Rhinolophus ferrumequinum: one gene and its partners. The protein of the gene in region 3 interacts with the protein of the main gene of each other region in a pairwise test. Links are inferred from orthologs where the notes say so. Each region holds a gene or a part of one and is shown on either strand. Other genes may lie near its edges.

Evidence for each region. The genes of interacting proteins can lie anywhere in the genome.
Region 1: the proteins of HTT (region 3) and GPRASP2 interact in binary tests that used the Homo sapiens proteins (3 or more experiments, as listed by UniProt). The link is inferred for Rhinolophus ferrumequinum from reciprocal best matches to the Homo sapiens genes HTT and GPRASP2.
Region 2: the proteins of HTT (region 3) and MRFAP1 interact in binary tests that used the Homo sapiens proteins (3 or more experiments, as listed by UniProt). The link is inferred for Rhinolophus ferrumequinum from reciprocal best matches to the Homo sapiens genes HTT and MRFAP1.

Annotation. Positions count from the first base shown.
Region 1 is NC_046284.1:52,045,950-52,053,555, reverse strand, and holds the start of GPRASP2 (G-protein coupled receptor-associated sorting protein 2), read left to right. Parts: upstream 1-4,594; 5' UTR 4,595-4,734; intron 4,735-5,072; 5' UTR 5,073-5,158; intron 5,159-5,712; 5' UTR 5,713-5,780; intron 5,781-5,865; 5' UTR 5,866-5,926; intron 5,927-6,127; 5' UTR 6,128-6,187; intron 6,188-6,493; 5' UTR 6,494-6,798; coding exon 6,799-7,606. UniProt on the Homo sapiens protein: May play a role in regulation of a variety of G-protein coupled receptors.
Region 2 is NC_046288.1:84,322,976-84,330,231, forward strand, and holds MRFAP1 (MORF4 family-associated protein 1), read left to right. Parts: upstream 1-4,523; 5' UTR 4,524-4,649; exon of another isoform or gene 4,650-4,768; 5' UTR 4,769-4,806; coding exon 4,807-5,190; 3' UTR 5,191-5,207; intron 5,208-5,732; 3' UTR 5,733-6,744; downstream 6,745-7,256.
Region 3 is NC_046288.1:86,319,498-86,326,662, reverse strand, and holds the start of HTT (huntingtin), read left to right. Parts: upstream 1-4,163; coding exon 4,164-4,366; intron 4,367-7,165.

The sequences.
Region 1 (7,606 bases), on a different chromosome or scaffold from region 3:
CAAGGATGTGAAAGACCTATATGCTGAAAACTATAAGACATTTTTAAAAGAAATAGAAGAAGACACAAAGAGATGGAAAGACATTCCGTGGTCATGAATTGGAAGAATCAACATAGTTAAAATGGCCGTATTACCCGAAGCAATATATAGATTTAATGCAATCCCCATCGAAACCCCAATGGCATTTTTTAAAGAAATAGAACAAAAAATCATCAGATTTGTTTGGAACCACAAAAGACCCCGAATAGCCAAAGCAATCTTAAGAAAAAAGAACAATGCTGGAGGTATCACACTCCCTGACTTTAGCTTGTACTACAGGGCAACAGTAATCAAAACAGCATGGTATTGGCAGGAAAACAGACACATAGATAGACCAATGGAATAGAATTGAGAATGCAGAAAAAAACCACATAAATATGGACAGAGAATTTTTGACAAGGAAGCTAAAAACATACAATAGAGGAAAGACAGCCTCTTCAATAAATGGTGCTGGGAGAATTGGAAAGCCACGTGCAAAAGAACGAAACTAGACTGCTATCTGTCACAATGTACCAAAACTAATTCAAAATGGATCAAATACTTAAGCATAAGTCTTGACACAATAAACTGCATAGAAGAAAACATAGGTACTAAACTTATGGACCTTTGGGTTCAAAGAGCATTTTATGAATTTGACTCCAAAGTCAAGGGAAGTAAAAGCTGAAACAAGTGAATGGGACTATATGAAACTTAAAAGCTTCTGCACAGCAAAGAAACCATCAACAAAATAAAGAGGCAACCAACTGAATGGGAGATTTTTTCAAACAGTGCCTCTGATAAGGGGCTAATATCCAAAATATACAAGGAGCTCATGAAACTCAACAACAAAAAAACAAACAACCCAATTGAAAAATGGGTAGACGACCTGAAGAGACATTTCTCCAAAGAGGACATACAAATGGCAAATAGACATATGAAGAAATGCTCAACATCACTAATCATCAGAGAAATGCAAATAAAAACCACAATGAGATATCACCTCACCCCAGTCAGAATGGCTATCATCAACAAGAAAAATAGTAACAAGTGTTGGAGAGGCCGTGGAGAAAAAGGAACCCTCATACACTGTTGGTGGGAATGCAAACTGGTGCAGCCGCTATGGAAGGCAGTGTGGAGGTTCCTCAAAAAATTACGAATAGAATTACCATATGACCCAGCAATCCCTCTACTGGGTATCTACCAAAAGAATCTGAAAACATTTATGCATAAAGACACGTGTGCTCCAGTGTTCATTGCAGCTTTATTTACGGTGGCCAAGATATGGAAACAATCAAAATGTCCTTCAATAGATGAATGGATAAAGAAGTTGTGGTATATATACACAATAGAATAGTATTCGGCGGTAAGAAAAGATGAAATAGGACCATTTGTGACAACATGGATGGACCTTGAGGTTATAATGCTAAGCGAAATAAGTCAGATTGAAAAAGCAGAGAACCATATGATTTCAGTGATATATGGTATATAAACCAAAAACAACAAAAGAACAAGACAAACAAATGAGAAACAAAAACTCATAGACACAGACAATAGTTTAGTGGTTATCAGTTGGTGAGGGCGGGGGTGGTGGATGAAGGTAAAGGGGATCAAATATATGGTGATAGAAGGAGAACTGAACCTGGGTGGTGAACACACAATGTGATTTATAGATGATGTAATACATAATTGTATACCTGAAATCTATGTAACTTTACTAAACTTTAATTAAAAAAAAAAAGATGCCGTGTGACCTTGGATAACTCCTGTAACTTCTAGCACCCTTGTTGTCATTTGTTAAATCATATATATATATATAAAATTACATAAATATATATATATATATATATATGTTTTTTGTCCCTTAGGTTTTATGAGGAGGAATAAGTTAATTTATGCAAAGTACTTGGCACAGTGCCCAGAATATTATAAAATTCATGGTATATAGCACTCAAATATTAGCTATTATTGTTATTTATAGAAATCTTTTAACATTTCCTAAGATGCCAGTCCTCATATGGTTTTTGGATACATCTTACTTTTTAAAACACTTTAGGGTCCTTTTCTTCCCTTGTTTTATTTCCTACCCAGTGTTGCCTATGGACTTCATATTGGTTAACAACAGTTGACTTTGGCATTAAAAAGAGGCGATTAATGAGGGTTGGAGGTTCGTAAAAGAGGTAAAGTGAACCGTAAAAGTTATTGCCTTTTTGTGGTTATTGATTATGATGTTTTCTCTTTATTATCTGGGAAAAACGCTTTTCTTGGATTTCCTAATTTACAATTTTATATGCTCTTGAAAAACTCAAAAGCAAACTTAAAGAAAAGTTGTACAGCATAATACTGAACATTTAGTAGATGCTGACAAAAAAAAAACCCTGTTGGTTTGATTGGCTGTTTTTATTTTCTGTATTAGAGTTAACTTTTTTAACCTTATTCAACTATACTGTTTCTCTACCTTCCAATTCAATAATCTGGCCTGATTTTTTCTTTTTGACTTGTTTCCATTTTGTTACCTTAAAATTCAGAGTTTAGCCAGTCTGGTATCTTGTTATCTTTCCTGTATGTTGGTAAACTTTGTACCCACAGAGATGCCTATTTAAAAAGCATCCAAGTTAATTTGGGTAACTGTATTTTTATATATTCTTTCCATTGTATTAATCCTACCAGTTCCCCAAGCCTCTGAAAAACCTACTTTTCTGAGCTGATGTTCTTTAATTTTTATACTTCTTTCCTGAAAGATGCTGTCTTCTGGTTTTCTATGACCAGTTTCCATCCACCTTTAGGTTTTTATTTTGTTCCTGCATTTCTCTTCCTAAGGAAGACCTGAACCAAGAAATACATTAATCGTATAGCATTCTTCCCTTTTTTTATATTAGGAAATTGTTCTTGGCATTCTCAAATCTCGGCACTTTAGATTTTTAAACTAAATCACGGTCTGAAACCACTCACTGTACCAAAATCAAAAAGACTCCAGTAGCATTTCATCTTTGATCTAGAGGTAAGGATGGATGACATGAATGATACCTCTTATATATTTTTTCTTTTAACCTAGTATCTGACCGCCCTTTCGTTTTTATTTTCTTATTTTTGATTAGGTAACATCCTGTGGTTCTAATTTTAAACGTTTAAAAGATCCTCTCCTTTTACTAACAATTGTCACCCCAATAAATTTAAAAAATAATTAAAAAAAAAGATTCTCTCCTTCCCACTCTTTTTCCCAGTCACCTTACTTCCCTAGAATCAACTTTAGTATCCTAAAGTTGTATCAGTTTTAGTATCCTTCCAGAGAAATTTTACACATAAAATTCTCACCTTTTTACACAAATGTTACCGTAACATATTTATTACTTTGTACCATTCTTTTTTATTTAGAAATATGCTTTTGTGATTTTACCATGTCAGTTCATGAAGATATTTCTAATTCCTAAAAAAAAATACAAAAACAAAAAAACAAACCCCACCAGGGCTGTCTTGGGGAAGTGTGTGCATGATGCAGCTTTCTCCAAGGAATGACTGGGCAAACTGGATAGGTGCTTACGGCAAGTGGCCGAGACCTAAAATGCTTCTAATCCCTGCCACATTTCCACAGTGCCAAAAATCATGAGAGCTTGGATGGGATTGTAAGACAAGACTTGATAGAACAGAGGAAGAGGAACCCGGAGCGACCCTATCTGATGCCTGACACTTACTTGGATGTGAGGCCACACACAGGGAGAATTCTATGACCCGGTGCGGGTCCAGACAGGGAAAGGCCCTCTTTCTAGGGCACTGTGGGGACCACAAAATGGCAACACGTGTTACTATTTCGAATGTGAAAAAAAGCAGTGTGGCAGCAAGGATGAATCTGGGTACAGAGCAGTGGATTCTCTCCTAGGGTTAGAGGTCTAGGTCTGCCTTTAGAAGAGGGGCAGTGGTGAGGCCTCCATGGCAGACCCCACCACTTCCTGTCCTCCCTGACCCCCCAAACAATGAAAGAACTTGGGGGGGCACCTCAGGACTTCAGGGTCGGTCTAGCTTTAGATGGCCTCTCCCCATCCGGGCAGCATTCTCACAGCCCCTCTCCCAGCAGCGTCCAGAAGTGAGACGGCAGGAGGGAGGTGGGTAGAACCCAGCACTCTGGGGGTTCATATACACCTAGGGGCGCTTTGTATCCACACGCAGCGAAGCTGCTCCTGACCTAGCGAACATGCTCCCCCACCCCCGCCCGCGCTGCCCGTAGATTGTAGAACCGGAAATGTTGTAGGGGGTACCCGGCAGGGGGCCGCGGAGGTCCTTAGAGCCCGATTGGCGGGCGTTAATTCGCCCCATGCGCTGGGGCTCTTCCCGGCCCCGCCCCCTCCGGGTCGGAACTGCGGGGCGTCTGGCAGGGGAGGGGTCGTCGAGCCCATTCGTCCGGTCTCCCTCCGCCCCGCTTTCCCTACACCCCCAGCCAGCGGTTCGTGCCGCATCCTGCGCACCCCCTGCCGTGTTTGGTGCAGCGGAGCGAAGGGCGGGACGCCTCTTTGCAATTTGATGCGCGCGCAAGGCGGTGGGACTCCGAGGAGGTCCGAGAGGAGGGGAGGCCGGCCACCCGGGCCCCGAGCCTGGAAAGGCAAGTGGGGGTGCATGGGGCGGGGTGGGTCCACACTCTCGACCAGCTTACACCCGCGCCCAGTCCCAGGCAGCCCAGCGAAGAGGCGGAGGCGGCTACAGGGTCGAAGCCGGTTCCTGAGAGAGGTGCGCAACGCCGGGGAGCCCTGCGCTGAGGTTGCGGCGGCGACGGGTGCGGGCCGGACCCAGGGTCCAGGGCCCAGGGGTGGCCTCAGATGCTCCCTGGGCTCCTGGGGGAAGCTATCCACGCCGGCCTCTCCACAGCCAGCTTTCCCGGAGATGGCTGTGGGGGAGGCTGGTGCGGGAGAAATGGTGGAGCCGGAGCAGAGATGGGGGCGCCGGGGCGGGGGCGTTGGCTATTCCGGGCCCTGATTCTGGAAAGGGTCTGTTGGGCCCCGCGTCCTGGGGGCTGTCCCTTCCCACAGGCGCCTCTTTGGTGCCAAAGTCTCCCGTCTGCGTGGTAGGTTGGCGATTTCAGGTGGCGGGGTGCATCTGCTGCGGAGCTGCTTGAGAAAAAGTTGGAGCAGGAAAATAGCCTGGATTTCTGGAGGTGTGTGGGGATGGGGGGTGGGCAGCCGCCATTGACTGGAGACACGAATTGGGGTTGGGTGACTATGACCAGAGCGGGTTAGGCATCCAGGAATAAATCCTAAAATTTCCCTCCGTACCAGTTCCTAGGCACTTCCCTTGGCTTCCTCCCTTACCTCCATCCCTAACTGGGGGTAGGAAAAGATGGGATCGGAGGCGAGGGTGAGACGGAAGTCACAGTTACAAGTACCACTGCACAACCTGTTTTCTATAATATGCAGGCTCCCTTCCCCCATTTTATGCTGCCCAAGGCAAAGGGATGTGGTGCACCTAGTGGTGAATCCTCAGAATTGGAATACGGCAGCAATGAGAAGACTGACGTCAAGAAAAGATGTCGTTATCTGGAACCCTGAAACAGAGGGCCTTAGTAAAACGAGAACGTTCTACCTAGAAGACCTTAAATGTTGAAAGACAGATCACATGTGGACTCCCATCATTGGTGTTGGTCTGTCCACCAAGTGCTCAGTTGTTACCATGGTCTTCTGACTGTCTTTCTTTTCATCCGTTTGTCCCTAGGCTTACTTTAAGACTGGTCACTTCTGCAAGGAAGGAAAGGAGGAAGAGACTGGCTCAATTCTCTGGAGGTTGGTGTGAAGGGGGAAATGCAGGGGATAGCGACAGAGTAAGATCATGGCAGGTCTTTGATTCACCTCTCCTGCTCTCTGCCAGATTTGCACACTGTCCCAGCATTCCTTGTCCATTTCCTGCAGGAGATATTACGAATATTGGGGTAGGTGCGAATTGGGCTGTGAATCGGAGGAGAAGACCTGAGATCAGGGACCAGGAGACAGGAAACGTTAGACAAATTGGACCCTTAAACAGAAAGAGAGATATTTGCATCAGGGGTCAGGGTGTCTGCCTGTCAACCAAACCCTCAGACTCCATTTTTTCCTGTGCGTTTGCTTGTCCATGGAACACCCTTCTGCTCTAGGGTGTAATTGGTACCCCTGGAATGAAGCACGGAGTGGGAAATTGCACCACATCAGAGAAGGTTGGTATGAGATGGGTAAACTTCGGGTCGGATAGTGGAGACCAGTGCAGTCACAACAGTAATTAGGGTCTAGTTTCAGGACTCCTCAACCTCTCTCATTGCCAACATACTTTCCCACAAATCTCACACCTGTTTGGTGGCAGGCCAAATAGTGTGGCAGTTGTGGGCAAAATGAATGTGACAGAGAGACTTTCTAATGGCCCAACAGCTCCACCAGGAATTCAAGGTCCAGTCTCTGTGTGAGTCTCTACATGGAGTGACACAGTTCCAAGAGGCTCAAGGCCCCATGTCCTTCTCTCTCCCTAGATCCACCTCCAGTGGCATCTCTGATGGTGCTGGAATTGCTGCTGACCACCACCCTCAACAGGTCTGCACCCACTTGGGAACCATCCATCCTCCCCCTGCTTGGTTGTGCCTCTTTGGCACTCTGTCTGTGATATTGGCTGAGGCTGGTCTTGGGAAGGAGGCTGGTTGGCTGCTGGACTGGTGATTGACTCTCTTCCAATTGTATCGCCTGAATCACTGGAAGATCAGTGTGAAGATACAGAATTGTGGTAGAGGCGGGGACTGTGTTACTGGTATTTAACTGCCTCTTCTCTGTAACTGGTATTATGACTGGGGCTGAGATTGAGCCTGGTGCCCAGGCCAAGGCTGAAAAGAAGGCTAGAGAAGAGGTTGCAGGTGGGGCTGAGAGAGAGAACGAAGTCCCGATGGTGGTCAGACCCAAGGTTAGGACCCAGGCCCAGGTAATGCCTGGGGCAAGGCCCAAAACTGCATCCAAGGCTATGAATGGGGCAACGCCTGAAACGGAGTCCCAGGTGATGGCTGGGTCAGGGCTCCAAACTGATTCCCAAGTAATGGCTGTGGCAAGGTCCAGAAGTGAAGCCCAGAGAATGTCTGGGGCAAGGCCAAAAACAGAGGCCAGGGCAGTAGGTAGGGCATGTTCTAAAACTGAGGCCAAGGCAATCACTGGGCCAAGGCACAAGGAAGAAGCCCAGGCTTGGGCCCAGACTGAGTTTGGGGCTCAGGCAATGTCCCAAACAGAGGGCATGCCCCAGACCAATGCAGAAGCCTGGCCACTGCTCAGTACTGAGTGTGGGTCAGGTGCTAAACCTATGTCCCTATCTGTAGATAGGGAACAGCTCAGGGTGGATGCTGAGATCTTTCCTGGTTCTCAGGGTCAGATGGGAATCCAACCCTGGTTTGGATCAGGGGAGGAAACTGATACTGGGTCTTGGTGCTATCCCAGGCCCAGGGCCAGAGCGGAGGGCTCTAATGAATCTGGATTCTGGTCAGCAGATGAGACCTCTACGATGTCTTCCTTCTGGGCTAGAGAAGAGGCCAGTATCAGATCGTGGCCCAGGGAAGAGTCCAATACCAGGTCCAGGCACAGGGCTAAATATCAGCCTAACACCAGAT
Region 2 (7,256 bases), about 2.0 Mb from region 3:
TATTCACACTGGCTTTGGGCACAGTTCACACCTTCAAGCCCTGTTGTACTGTGATTTCCGCATTTAGCAAAATAAACAATGACAGCATAGTTACTGTAAAGATGAAGAAACAAAACCTCACGTACTTTCATCCTGCCATTCTATGTGACCATTTGGACTTTCAATTTATGTTTATAATTTAAAACACAGTGAGATATTTTTGTTTGGTAAGTGCAAATTTTAGCTAGTGCACTACATATTTAATTTGAATATCTTTGAAATGTATTCATAATTGCTAATTGCTTTAAAACTAATGAACTAATCAAGAAAATAACAGGTTATATTAGTGGTATCATTTACTAGTTGCATAAATGGCACCTTTTGCAGTGTTTTCAGCTTTGTTAAAATTTACTTACTATTGGACACTTAGTTGTATAAAATATTATTAAATCAGGCTAATCTGAAAAGATAAACTCACTCTTGTGGTTTGCCTTTACTCTCACGCTCTCACGCTACTACTCACACTATACCTCATTCACTTTTGACACGTGTGTGTTTTTACTGCATCAAACATTTCTCCACGACACCAGCTGGTGGCCATGGTTCACTCAATTTTGACACTATCTACCTCGAATTAGCATTAGACCCCACAAGTGTAGGAGTCATTTCCATAAGACTGCCCCCACTTCAGACACCAATTGAAAGTCCCAGGTTGTCACCCGAACTTCTGACGACTGGCTATAAATCAGAGTTCCCATGACACCCTCCTCGTCATTCACTAGAATGCCTCACAAACTCAGGGAAACACTGATGTTTCCTGGTTTATTATAAAGGACATAATAAAGGCTCATAATAAAGAGAAACAAGGGCCCCGAGCCCAGGAGCTTCTGTCCCCGTGGAGTTGGGCGGGGGGGCCAACCCTCCCAATGTGTAGTGGGTTCACCAACCCAGAAGCTCTCCGAACTCCATACTACTGGGATTTTTATGAAAGCTTCATCACGTAGGTATAATCGATCATGAACTCCATTTCCAGCCCATCTCCCCTCTCTGCAGAATGCAGGGTGGAACTGAAAATTCCAAGCTTCTAATCATGGCTTGATCTTTCTGGTGACCAGCTCCATCCAAGAGCCAGCCAGAGTCACCTCATTAGAACAAAAGGCACTGCCATCACCCAGGCAATTCCAAGGGATTCAGGAGCCCTGTGTCAGGAACTGGGGCAGAGACCGCTACGTATATTTCATATTATTTCACAAATGACGAGAGCAAAGATGAAACAGTTAGGGAGCTATCAAAGCGACTGAACGCATAGTTGTGCTTGTTTGCCCTTTGGGAACTTGGAGGAACTTGAAGCCCTTTGTGTTGGGAAACCAGCAACTGGTCCATAATTATTCTGAATTTCATTAAGAAATGTGTGGGGGGGCACCCCTAAAGACACTGATCCCATGGAGCCCAACAAAGAAAAATTTTAAGCAAAAGAGGAGGCAATTGAAGCAATGGCTGGATCTGTATTGAAATATGAAATGCCTGTGATACCACGTAGAGTTTTATGTCACATTTATTACTTCAAATCATTTGTCATAGAGAGGAGAGGTATTGAAAAATGACCCCCTCTGGGTGTCAAATATGCCAGATACTTTATCAAGAGGGGGAAGAAAAGGAGTGAGCCTCCATCCCATTTGCTTCATTCGCCCAACCCTGCTGGGTTTCCACTTAAAAGGGGGTCAGGCTGGACTTGCTGGTCTCCAGGGCCTCACACTGCCAACACCTTAGGGTTCCTGAGTGCCCTCCCCTTCCATGCCCTGGAAGGGGAGAAGTCCCAGTATCCTAAAAGTCCTGCTGTCCTTGTGACTTCTCAGCCTAGCAGTGAGATGGGATGCAAGAGCTGCGAAGGGAGCCTGGACGGAAGCGCTACACTTCGGGAGGCATGGTGGATAAGACATTCTAAAATCCTCTTCTTTCCACTCCCACAGGCGGCATACAGTAGATCACAACAAACTTTCCTTTAAACACACTGCTGAGCGTGCAGAATGCAAGAGAAATCCTCAAAGGCGTTCAGGAGGGAACTGAATACTAAAACCAGATACGTGAGCAAACGTCAAATCAGAGCTACCAATAGCAGAAACACAGGGATAGGAGACGAGGTCCTGGAGGGGTTGAACCAAATCTGACTTTAAAAACCTCCCAGCCTGGACTGGCCCCATGGCTCAGGTGGTTGGAGCCCCGAGCTCCTAACGCTGAAGACTGCCGGTTCGATTCCCACATGGGCCAGTGAGCTGCACCCTCTACAGCTAAGACTGTGAACAACAACAGCGTGAGCTACTGTGTGTCATCAGGAGCCCATAGCGACTGGCCGGCTGACTGGGGAGCGCAAGGCTCATAATACCAGCATGGGCCAGGGAGCTTGTCCTATACAACTAGACAACAGCTTGAACTGGAGTGGGGGTTGGGGGAGGCGGAAGAAAGGGGGAAAACAAAAAAACTAAGAAACCTTCCAACCAGTGCAAAGGTACCAAAAGGAATCCAGGTGGTGTATTCTGGATGTAGGTGGAAAAACTAATACAAATATAAATACAAATTTGAAAACAGAATTCTGCAGATCTGTAATTATGAAATTGCTCTCAACCAAGATCAACCACAAATCCCCACTGGAGAAGCTTTCTCAGCCAAGCTTGTTACGATTCCCCAGAATTAAAGCCAAATATTACACACACGGAAACAAAGCACCACATAAGAGTCAGTCAAACAAAAAGTAACAGATACGGGAATTATCAAATGTAGAATATAAAATGGCTCTTTATGAAATATGAAAAAAAACCACAAGAAACAGAAGACTACCAAAATTAGCCAAAATTAGCCAGGCAATGAAAGGTAGGAACGTTCCTGGCCTCTCCTCACTACCTACATGCCAGTAGCAGCCCTCCCTCCCTCGTCCCTCCCTCTCAAGTTGTAACAGTTAAAAATGTCTCCAGTTAAAAATGCCATATATACCCTAGAGGACAAAATCACTACAGTCGAAAACATTCTGTTCTAGAGGAAGGTACAGGATCAGATACTATATAAGAAAGTTAGATAATGAGTGTCGTGTGGGGGATCCTGCCGACTACGCCAAGCGTCATGCAGGACGGCGTGCAGGGTCCCCGGTCCCACTCCCCACACAAGAACGCAGGACATGGTGAGGCCAAAAAGGAACACCCACAGAGCCATAGGTAGGGGAGTCATACCACTGTACTGTCACTGGCAGCTGGGTTGGAGGCTCAGGAAGCAGGAGCCACACAATTCTCAACCCTCACTGCGCCGCTTGCAGGCTCAGCCACCATCTCCTTGCTAGCCCCCATTTGCTGCTAGCATAGCCACGGCAGTTATATTAGTGGCCAACGGCTCACTGGTTACAGCTGACGGCCAACTAGCCACAGCTGATGGCCATTTGATTGCAGTCGACAGCCATTTACTACCTGAGCCAGCACCTTTCTATGTGAGGCCGAGAGCCTGGAAACTGCTTTTTGGGGCTCTGTCCCCACAATGAGCAAGCAGCAAAATTACACTAAAACTGTGAAACAGTAGGGGGTTTTGTCAAATCTAAGAAACCATCAATTTTAAGGTTTACCATTATTTTGGGTAATGTTCAGAGTGAGAATACACTACAACGTTTAAGTGTGAATCGGTGTTCTATATCACAGCAACTGAAAAACGCAGAGAATTTCAATGTGAGAAGAGGTTCACTGAGAATTTCGTGACTTTTGTTTCTCTTCGTTCTTAACTCTGCCATCTTCGAAAGTAGGACTTGTGTCCCTTTGACTGGAAAACAGAAACCAACCCTATGGCACTTGCGCACGCTGGATTCTTGAAATTTTTCTTGCTGTTTTGTGACCGGGTCAACAGACTAGGCTAGGAAATGAACTTATCTGTCCTTAATTAAAAGTTTGTGTTGCGTGAATGCTAAAGCAAATTTACCGATCTGTGCCAAGCTCTGCTCAGGGCTTTACAGACAGTTACAATAAGACACCCCCCACCCCACGGCCACAAACACACACGGAGCCCTGATTTTGGTAAAAGGTGGGAAGGATAGTCAACAACCCCGTTTTCAACGGAGCTTTGGGGTCCGCTGGGGGCTCAGGATGAACGAGACCAGGTCTTTAACCCTGGAGTGGGGGCGGGGGGCTTGGCCCGGTGAAAAGACACTCACTTCTGACTGCAATCCGAACAAGAACGATTACACGGCTGCAAGAACGACAATCTCACGGCTGAGAGGGGTCTGCTGGCCGTACGAGGGAACGGGGCTGTGAGGCTTAGCCCGGGGACGTCACAGCCTTTGAGTACATTATTACGTAGCACCTTCCTCGTTTCGTGTAAGAAGATCGCGTTTACATCTTAAAAATATGTAAATTCCGCGCTCGAGAAGCCCTGTATGAGAAAGGTGCACCAAAACACGTCACCCCAAAGCCAGGGACGCAGCGAGCAGAAGGCGGGCGCCTTACGTACTCGGGCTCGGGCTCGTGCGCGCGCGCGGGCGCGGGGACGCCGGCGGCGTCTCCATGTACGTGCACGCGCCCGCACCTCGTCCTGCCGGCGGCGTGACCGTAAAGGGGCACAGCCGTGTCGTGAAAGGGGCCGCAACAGGCAGGGGGCTGGTTGACGGCTCGGACTCCATTTTGTTTGCCTCTTCTCTGCTCGTAAGTTGCCTCTCTCCGTGGTTTTTCTGAGGCGAAAAGTTTAAAAAAGGGTAAAAGTTTTAAGGATTATTCTGGAGCGCTGTTAATAAGCATAGGGAGTCTCCATTTTGTCTCTGCAGCAGACGTCGGTACTGCGGTTCCCGAGTAGCGGCGGAAAATGCGGCCCTTGGACATCGTCGAGCTGGCGGAACCGGAGGAAGTGGAAGTGCTGGAGCCCGAGGAGGATTTCGAGCAGTTTCTGCTCCCAGTCATCCACGAGATGCGGGAGGACATCGCGGCTCTGACCCGGGAGCACGGGCGAGCGTACATGCGGAACAGGAGCAAGTTGTGGGAGATGGACAATATGCTCATCCAGATCAAAACGCAGGTGGAGGCCTCGGAGGAGAGCGCCCTGAATCATCTGCAGAACCCGGACGACGAAGGGGAGGGCAGAGGGACCAAACGGTGCGAGAAGGCCGAGGAGAAGGCCAAGGAGATCGCCAAGATGACAGAGATGCTGGTGGAGCTGGTGCGGCGGATAGAGAGGAGCGAATCGTCCTGAGCGCGCGCGGGCCGCCGGTAAGGCCGGCGGGAGCCGGGGGGACGTCCTGCTGGGTGCCCTGCACTTGCTTTATCCGAGGGGACCGGTGTGATGGTGACGGTCCACGTGAGATGGACGTCGGGGCGGACGAGAGGAGAAAGGCAGGCCCAGTCTTGACTTGAACAGGGGTTAGCAGATACCGTTTGTTTGTTTGTTTACGCTGGTAATTAGGAAAAAATAGGCCTGTGTCGGGCATAGTATGTGTTTGGTTAAAACCTACGGTCTCGGGCCCTGGGAGTAATTGTAGTGTGGTAAAGCTGAAAGTCGCTAAAAGAACAAAATCATAGCAGGTGCCGTTGAGCAAGGGGGCATAGAGACAGAGAGTTTTCAGAGGGAGACAGAGAGTTTTCAATTCCAGACCTTGCCAGAAGACGGGAGTGAGTCAGATGGCATCCAGAAAAGGTGACGTCCTGCGTGGGTGGTTACATTTGTGAGGGTCTTGGGCTCCCTTCCCCCCCCAGGATTAACCCCTTAACGATGAGTTTCTCGCAATTGCACCTTAGGTTTGCAGCCAATGGATTCTGGTCCACTGATGGAGATTGGCTGACACCCTGGAGAAGCTGAAACCAGAGAGCCTTTTGTTTTCTCTCTTTTTTTCCTCTGTCTGTATTCTGTCCTCATTTACACTACGTTTCTGCTGTGGTCTGTGGTTGATGACCTCAATGTGAGTTTTGACTGTTAAATGTTTTTGTTTGGGGAAGTCACTTTTATTTGGGAAATTCTCTGACGTGCAACAATTAGGGCCTAGATTGTAAGCTCTTACAGCAGTCACATTTGTTCCTGGGCTTCGGTTATTTCTAAATTTTGAGGTGTTTTGCTCTTTCTTGTGTGATCTGATAGCTCCCTGGAACTTTGGGTCTATGTGTGACACACGAGACTCGGAGTTGGAGTTCTCCAGCTCTGGAGGCGCTGAAGGAGCTGCTTTACTTCTAGAAGATGACTCCTGCTAAAGAAGCTGAAGAAGGGACCAGACTTCATCCGGGAATGTGAATGGAGCTGATCTGGCTAGGACTGGTGCATCAAAAGAAGGGGTGGAAAGTGGTATTGTCTGTATTTTGGGACTTGAATTTCTGTGTGAGACCAAAGGAGGAGAGGTGTATTTTGTTCAAAATTGAATTTTATGTGGCACACTATCTGATGTAACGTGTCTGGTCAGTTTGTTTGGACAACCTAACTCAGCTTTATTTGACATGGAACCTGGAATAGGGGATGAGATCTTGGTATTCTGCACAAGTTGACATAATACTCGGATGCATTTCAGGGGATTCTGGGCATAAAATGAAAGAAACATTTGCAAAAGCCCTTGCGGGGCTGGGGAAGGAAAGCAAGGACTGCCTGCATTGGACCCGAAAGTGGACAGGGACTAGGTGTCTTCAAGGTTCATAAGTTGTCCAGCTATAAGTTCATTTGAGTAGCAGACCTGACAAATATTTGAGGTCAAAACCCTACCGTGTGTTTAAAAAAAATTACCGTGTTAATAAAAGTATTCATTTGCTTGAAAAGACAAAAGACCTAAAAAGTTATTGACTAAGAAATTTTATTTCTTTTAGAATGAAAATTTTCTCCTTGACTGTTGTCATTGTCAAATGGAGGGTGAATCTTTTAGTTTTTGAGGCTCTCAAGTAGGTCTCTTATCGGGAAAGATTGCGGGCTGCTCTGCTCTGGGCACTGGAATGAGTCAGGTGGCGTCCAGAAAAGGTGAACACTCAGCTGTTAAGTATAGGGAGGAACCTCATATAATCCTGTGGGCCAGGACCCTGCCTTCTCAGCCAAAGTTCCTTCAGTCTTTCCACCTAGGAAATTGAAACATTCTACCCCACTACAGAAATGAAGGTCAAACGCCCCAGCTGCTGGAAGTACTGCTAACAGGTGGCTCTCAGCAGATCAGCTTTAAGTGCCTCTGCTTAAGAGACCGTCCTTAGCCAAGGTTAAGCCCTCTTTCCCAGGTGGCCCATATCCAGTGACATGGACGTGGGGTCTAAGGGACCTGTCCCTCTCACTGCAACTTGGGACAACTTTGAAGGGCA
Region 3 (7,165 bases):
CAGCTGACCTCTCAATAGCAAGAATGAGAGGCAGGAGAGAGGTGTTCACATCTTTAACCTGCTGACGGGTCATCTGCCAACCTTGAGTTCTAGACCCAACCCCAGATCCATTAAGAATGAATGTAAAATAATGACATTTTCAGACAAACTGAAACAGACATTTTGGCAATAGAAGATCCACTGTAAGAGAAAGTCTAAAGGGTGTCTTCTGGGCAGAAGAAAATGATCCCAGATGGAAGATCAGACGTGCAGGCAGGAATGCAGAGGAGTAAAAATGGCAAATGTGGGAGTCATTTAAGTAAATATTGACTGTTCAAAGCAACAATCATGTCTGTGTCTTTTACAATGTGTGCATGTCTTGATGTAGAAATAAATACACGGCAAGAATACCCTCTAAATTGGGAGGGACCCCCAGGGAGACGGGTGGGGGAACCACCACCCTGTCCCCAGGAGCTGCCGGTCCACTCATCTTGTCCCTCTTGGCTCTCCTTCACGTTTCCTTCTTTCTTGGGCCCAGGCCTTGCCCTGCACAGACCCCCCCTCACCTGGTCTTGGGTTCAGGGTGCGTGCCAGCCCCCCAGCTGGAGGGCACGCCACCTGTCATGGCTGCTTTAAATATCTGCCTTTTCTCCTGGGCAGCATGCGTCCCACGTGTGTTGCTAGGCTTTCATTTTCAGTTCTCCACCCAAACCTATGCTTTTATGTGTTTTTCCCCTGAATATACACATTTACTGCTGAAAAGCTGAAAACTACAGACAAGCACACAAGATATAAGAACCCTGCACAGAGAGTCAGTATTACGAATTTGGTGAGCAGCTCTCATCTATGTATGTGTGTACTGTTTTTCTTTAAGAAAGAGAAGATCATGCCATATGTAGTAGTATAATCTGCTAAAGCATGGTAAACCTTTTCTTGGGTCACAAGTGCTCTTCTAAAATAGGATTTGAATGGCTGTCCAGTTTTCTGTCACAGATTTATCTGGATTCATATCGCCAATCTCCTCCTGCCCAGCATTTATGTTTCCAGTTTTTTGGTCCTAAATGTTGCTGTAAGTAGTGACCATTCTCACACACACGATTGTTTTCCTAGAATAACGCACTGGAAGTGTCTGCTATTCAGGGACTGTGCCCAGTTTTAAGTCTGTGGAGACCCGGTGCCAAGTTGTCCACCTAGCATAGTTTATCTGCTTTGGACTGTGCCAAGCTTTTCTCTGAACTTAAAAAAATCTGCTTCTTGACAGTCCCTTTCTATAAGATTTCTTCTCAGGATTACAATAAGTTCCAGGCAGATGATTCTTTCTGCTGTGGCAGAAGAAGCCATGTCGGTGGCCATATAAGGCTTTGGTGACCCATAATCTATCTGGACTGGTCAGAAGGTGGTTTAGGAGCATATAAACGGGACAATCCCACGTAACAGTGGCTTATACAAAATAGACTTACATTTCACTCTCACAGATTTTCATGAGGTGGGCAGGCTGGCTGGCGTCCCCACCCCGTCCTCTGGGCCCTGGCTCCTTCCAGCTCCACCATCCCAGGATGTGGCTTTTCAGCCTCATGAGCCAGAATGACTGCTTAAGCACCACCCAACACAGCCGCATTCCAGGCAGCAGGAAGAACAGGTGAACCCCTTCTTAGGACACATCTGCTTCCATCTCGTTGGCTAGAACTCATTTAATCATGTGGCTACAGCCAGCTCAAAGGTGGGAAATGGAGCATTTTAACTAAGTGGAAAAGTGCCCAGATAAGAACTGAGGTCCTGTTACTGAAGAAGGCGGCCAGAGTGGCTATCAGGCGGCGACACTACTACTTGTTACGGGTTCCAATATGTCCCCTCAACCTTCATGTTGAGTGCTCACCCCTAGCACTTCAGAATGTGATTGTATTTGGACAGAGGCCCTTTAATGAGGTCGTTAGTGTGGTCTAACCCCGTATGACTGCTGTCCTTATAAGAAGAAGGGATTAGGACACAAACAGGAAGAGCATGTGAAGACACAGGGAGGGAGACGGCCACGTAGAAGCCTAGGAGAGCGGCCTCAGGAGAAACTGCCCTGCCCACACCTTGATCTTGGGGACTTCCAGCCTCCAGGGCCGGGAGAAGATGAGTTTCTGCTGTTGAGCCTGCAGTGTGTGGTACCTTGTTATAGCAGCCCTAGCAAACTAATACACTTACCTGTTGCTGTGTGACCAATCACTGTGGCTTAACTACCCACAGAATCTCACAGGGGCCGTGGGGCAGGCATCTGCCACAGCCTAGCTGGGTCCTTCCCTTCCCAGTCTCCCAAAAGCCTACGATCAAGGACCAGTTGCCTCCACTTGAAAGCTCTACCGGGCAAGACCGGCTCCTAAGCTCATGTGTTGGCAGGATTCAGCTCTTTGTGGGCTGTCGGTTTGAAAGCCTCCGTTTCTCACTGACTTGGCTAGTGGCAGCCTCCAACATGGCAGCGTGCTTCGTGCCCACGTGTAAGCCAAGTGACGGGACCAGGGCGGGCAAGACTGAAGCCTCATCTTTTGTAAGCTAATCCAGGAGGGCCATCTTTCCTTTTGTTGGGTAGAAGGAAGCCGCCAGGGGACAGCCCACACTCTGGGAGGGCACTATGAAGGGCGTGAACACCAGGAGGGGGCCACTGGGCTGTCTTAGAACTTGGCTACCAGCACCTGACAGCTCTCGGCCAACACCATCTGGCCTGTCCAGCCTGCGGTTCGGTAAGTGGCCTGGCACACGGACAAGGTCCTTTATTAACAAACATCACGGAACTGGGACCTCAAGGGTGGTGCATGTGGTGTTCCCCTGAAGGAGAGCTGTTGCTGTGCCCTTGGGGACAATACTGCCCGTGGTGGTGGTGGGTTTCCTGTTCCCTGACCATTTGGGACAACGGACGCTCTGACAGAGGGTGGAGATGTGGCTGGTGGCACAGATAGGGCACTGCTCCGAGTGGGCTCCTGCTGCATGCATTGCCTCCCCCAGGCGGCCCTCTCGGAGGCCAGCGCAGTCCCTGCCCGCCCCCCCCCCCAGTTGCTCACCTGCCTCCCCTTGAGGTGGTGAGGCCCTGGAGCACCGACCCTTCCGTGCAGCCTGCTGCGGCCCAGGCAGAGGTGCCCACAGACCTGTGGGACAGGGGTCCTCTTCGCTGGAGGGCAGTCATTCCTGCGGTGGGGAGGACTGCTTCCCGCTGCACAGCCATCGTCTCTGTGGGCAGCAGACACTGACCTGACCGTGCTAAGCCTCTTCTCCCCTGCCCTCAGGCTGCAGACTCTGGGAGGCGCCTGCCGGCTGGCTGCCGACCCCCAGGGGTTCCCTCTCCTCTCTGGGGGCCACACCCAGGCTCTCCTCCCGCCGAGACCATTCCTGCAGGTCTCCGCCGACCTACCCGACCCCAGCTCTGCGAAGGACGCACTCACTTCTCCGTGCTCCTCACAGAAAGAGCCCCGACTACTCACGTCAGAGCAGTCCGGCGACCCGCCCCTCAGTCCCGGCCACGGGTGGGCAGGGGCGCCCCCTGGTGTCTCTCGCCCAAGCCCAGGCGGAGCTCCTGCCAGGATGAGCGGGGCGTGACCGGTATCCCCTCCCCTTCCCGCCACTCAATGCCGTGCCCCGCCCCCCACCGCCACGTCCCGCCCTCATAGCGCCCCGCCCCGCCTCCCACCTCCGTGCCCCGCCCCTCACGGCCAGGTCCTGTCCTCAGCACTGTACCCCGCCCATCACCGCCACGCCACGCCCCTCATCGCCACACACCGCGTGCCGCCCCAGTCCCGCCCTCTGTAGTGACTCGCCCCTCAGCGCCAGGTCCCGCCCACACTGCCGCGCCCCGCCCCTCCGTGTACCGCGCCCTCGCAGGGGAGGGGCGCGATTATCTCAGTGGCTGCGTCAGCTCTGGGAGGTGATCTAGTGGGCTCGAGGGAGGGCGGGCTAGCACTTCGTTTGGTCATTGGCAGAGGCCGCCGCCTGGGCTGTCAATCCCGGCGGCCCGGTCTGGCCCCGCCCCGCAGGCGGAACGCCGCAGGACGCAGGGCCGCGGGGGCTGCTGGGAAGGGTTCAAGATGGCCGGGCGTTTCGGTTCTTCTACAGCCTGCGGCCCCGAACCCCATTCATTGCCGCGCTGCTGAGCGGCGCCGCGAGCCGGCCCTTGGGCTTCGGGGGCGGTCTCCGCGGAGCGGGTTGCCGCCATGGCGACCCTGGAAAAGCTGATGAAGGCCTTTGAGTCCCTCAAGTCCTTCCAGCAGCAGCAGCAGCAGCCCCCGCCGCCGCCGCCGCCTCAGCCTCCTCAGCCGCCGCCGCAGGCTCACCCGCCGCCGCCGCCTCAGCCTCAGCCACCTCCTCCCACACTGCCGCCCGGCCCGGCCGTGGCCGAGGAGCCGCTGCACCGACCGTGAGTGCGGGCCCGCTGCATCTCCCCCTGCACCCCGGGCCCCGCGGCGACGGGGCCACCCCGCGCACGGCTCCACTGCCTTGCCTGCCGCGGCATCTCGTCCCGGCATCTCGCGTGGGCCTCAGTGCCTTCGCGCGTGCAGGCACAGCCTCTCCAGAAGGCGCCGAGGCGGCCACGGTTGTTTTTCAGCGTGCCAAGTTAGGGGGGAACTTACTGCTCTGTATTGCAAAGGGCCGGGCTGCGTGGGTAGCAGAACTTGGCGGCGCCCTGAGCGCGTCGCATCTGGCTCCCCCGGGCCACTTCCGCTCCCTCTCCTAGTCTGAGAGGGAGCAGGGCTGGGGGCGCAGGGCGCTGCGCGGGGAGCTGGGAGCTGGAGCGCTGTGGGCACAGTGCATGACGTCATGCCCTAGACTGGGAGGGCGGGCCAGTGCGGCGCCGTCTGTGGGAGATTCTTTTTGCCAGGGGCCCTTGAGACAGCTTGTGTGACTTAAGGCTGTACTGCCACATTCTCGAGACATTCCCCTTAGTCCGGGAATCGCAGTGGTAATCACAGGATTTTAAGCATCAGTAAGAGGCCTGCTTGTCCAAGCTCAAGTTTGGTCTGCACGCATTTGACCGAGTTGTGGTTGCCAAGTAAGTGGTGACCATACGTAGATGGTTATGATTGCTAACGAGTGAGAAGTAATAGAATTGACTTAAGTATTAAGAGTTGACTGAAGTTTACGGCCTGTTTTCACTTGGAAATAAAAACGACACACTGCTGAGGGAGAGAAGTTCATCGTGGGGCGCGGTGACTGATGTGCGTTTTACTGGTGGTGTCGTCCAGCCTGCTGGACAGAGCGTGGGTGTCAGCGCACCCCACGGACGTCTCCTGTTCCCTTCATTGCCGGCATCCTGATACTGCTTTCATAATAGGGATCTCTGTTGCTTGTGCCCGGGACAGTTTTTGAAACAGGAAAAGGGAGACCACTAATGGCACCCTCTAACAGAACCCAAGTATTGTTCCCTGAAGTCTTCCTGTGCTGTGTGTTGAGCAGAGTTTAGGGGGTGCTTTGCTGCAGTTCAGGCCTGTCTCAGCTCGGGGCATTAGACTTCTGATCTGAAGATGTGTAAGATGGTATTTAATGGGGACACTTTCCAAGAAGCAGCCCCTTTAAGGAGCTTGCTCTTTTAAGGCTGATTCACTCTTAGTAATGTTTTCTTGTTCTTTATGTTTCTGACATAATTCTTGCTGTGTCCTAATAGTTTAATTGGAAAATGAGGACTTGGGGAGTAATGGTGGCTTATCTGTTAGAATAAAATTTAGAAGAAATAAATTATTTTTCCTTCTAAGATGTGAAAAACCTGTTTGCATATTTAGAGAGAAAAAATTTTTTTTAAACAATTTGACTTTATCTCTAGAGCAAGTAATTTGTAATCATAACCCATTCGAGACTTATTGTATGTAATGTCTCTCCAGGAAGTGAATGTCACAGACGTTTCCACGTGTGTAAACAAGGGAAACACTAAGGGGGTCTCTGCAAGGTTTACTGCCACCTGGTGACTCCTCCACTCCGTCAATCTAAAAACCTGCCTCTGTTTCTTATGCTGACTTGTCAGAACCTGAATTTGCTTATCTTCAAAATATGGGTATACAGAGGTTTCCTTGTAAAGCCGACTTGACAAAAGTAGATTTTGTTTCATTACTTTCAGGAAAGTATGATTGACTTATTTGAATAATTTTATCTATTATTTTTGCATAAGTAATACATTCCAAAAGGTAAAAATTAAAATTCTCTCTCCCACTCCTTTCTCCTGAGGGCCTAATTCCGTCCCCGGAGGCAAGCACGGTTTTACTTCCTTCTTGTGAATCCTTCCAGATATAATCTATGCATATATGAAGATAGATTTTAAATTACTTAAAAGCAAAAGTATTTCAGAAGAGTAGCTTTGAAAGGTTCTTAGCATGCTCTGAAGTCAGTTGCTTTAGGCTTGATTATAGTTTTTTTTTTTTTGAACAGGACTTTATTGGGGAACAGTGTGTACTTCCAGGACTTTTTTTTTTTTTTTTCCCCACGTCAAGTTGTTGTCCTTTCAGTCTTAGTTGTGGAGGGTACAGCTCAGCTCCAGGTCCAGTTGCCATTGCTAGTTGCAGGGGCCGCAGCCCACCATCCCTTGCAGGAGTCGAACCGGCAAACTTGTGGTTGAGAGGACGCGCTCCAACCAACTGAGCCATCCGGGAGCTCTGCAGCAGCTCAGCTCAAGGTGCCCTGTTCAATCTTAGTTGCAGGGGGCGCTGCCTACCATCCCTTGCGGGATTGGAGGAATTGAACTGGCAACCTTGTGGTTGAGAGTCCACTGGCCCATGTGGGAATTGAACCAGCAGCCTTCGGAGTTAGGAGCATGGAGCTCTAACCGCCTGAGCTACTGGTCCGGCCCTTGATTATAGTTATTTTAAATAAAATGCATAAATATATTTTATGTACTTTGCTATTGAGAAAGCAGGTATTCGTAAATTTTGAGTAAACAACTCACTGCTTACAATTTGAATCTTGGCATTCAGATGCTTCAGCTGAAAAATCCATTCCCCACAGTAAGTTTGGCCAAAAGCAATTGAGAAAGTACCTGTTCTATTTTTATGGCTCTTGCTGTCTGTGGTGTGGAACTTTAGTGTCACAGCCATGGGTGGGCTTCAGCTGAAGTATCTGAGTGCCTGTTCTCTGACTCAGCATATAGGATGCAGGGGTCCTGGGTGGGCCTGCCGTGCAGGGAGTGCCAAAGCGTGGGAGAGTCCTCGACTGCAATTATGAAGCAGTTGAC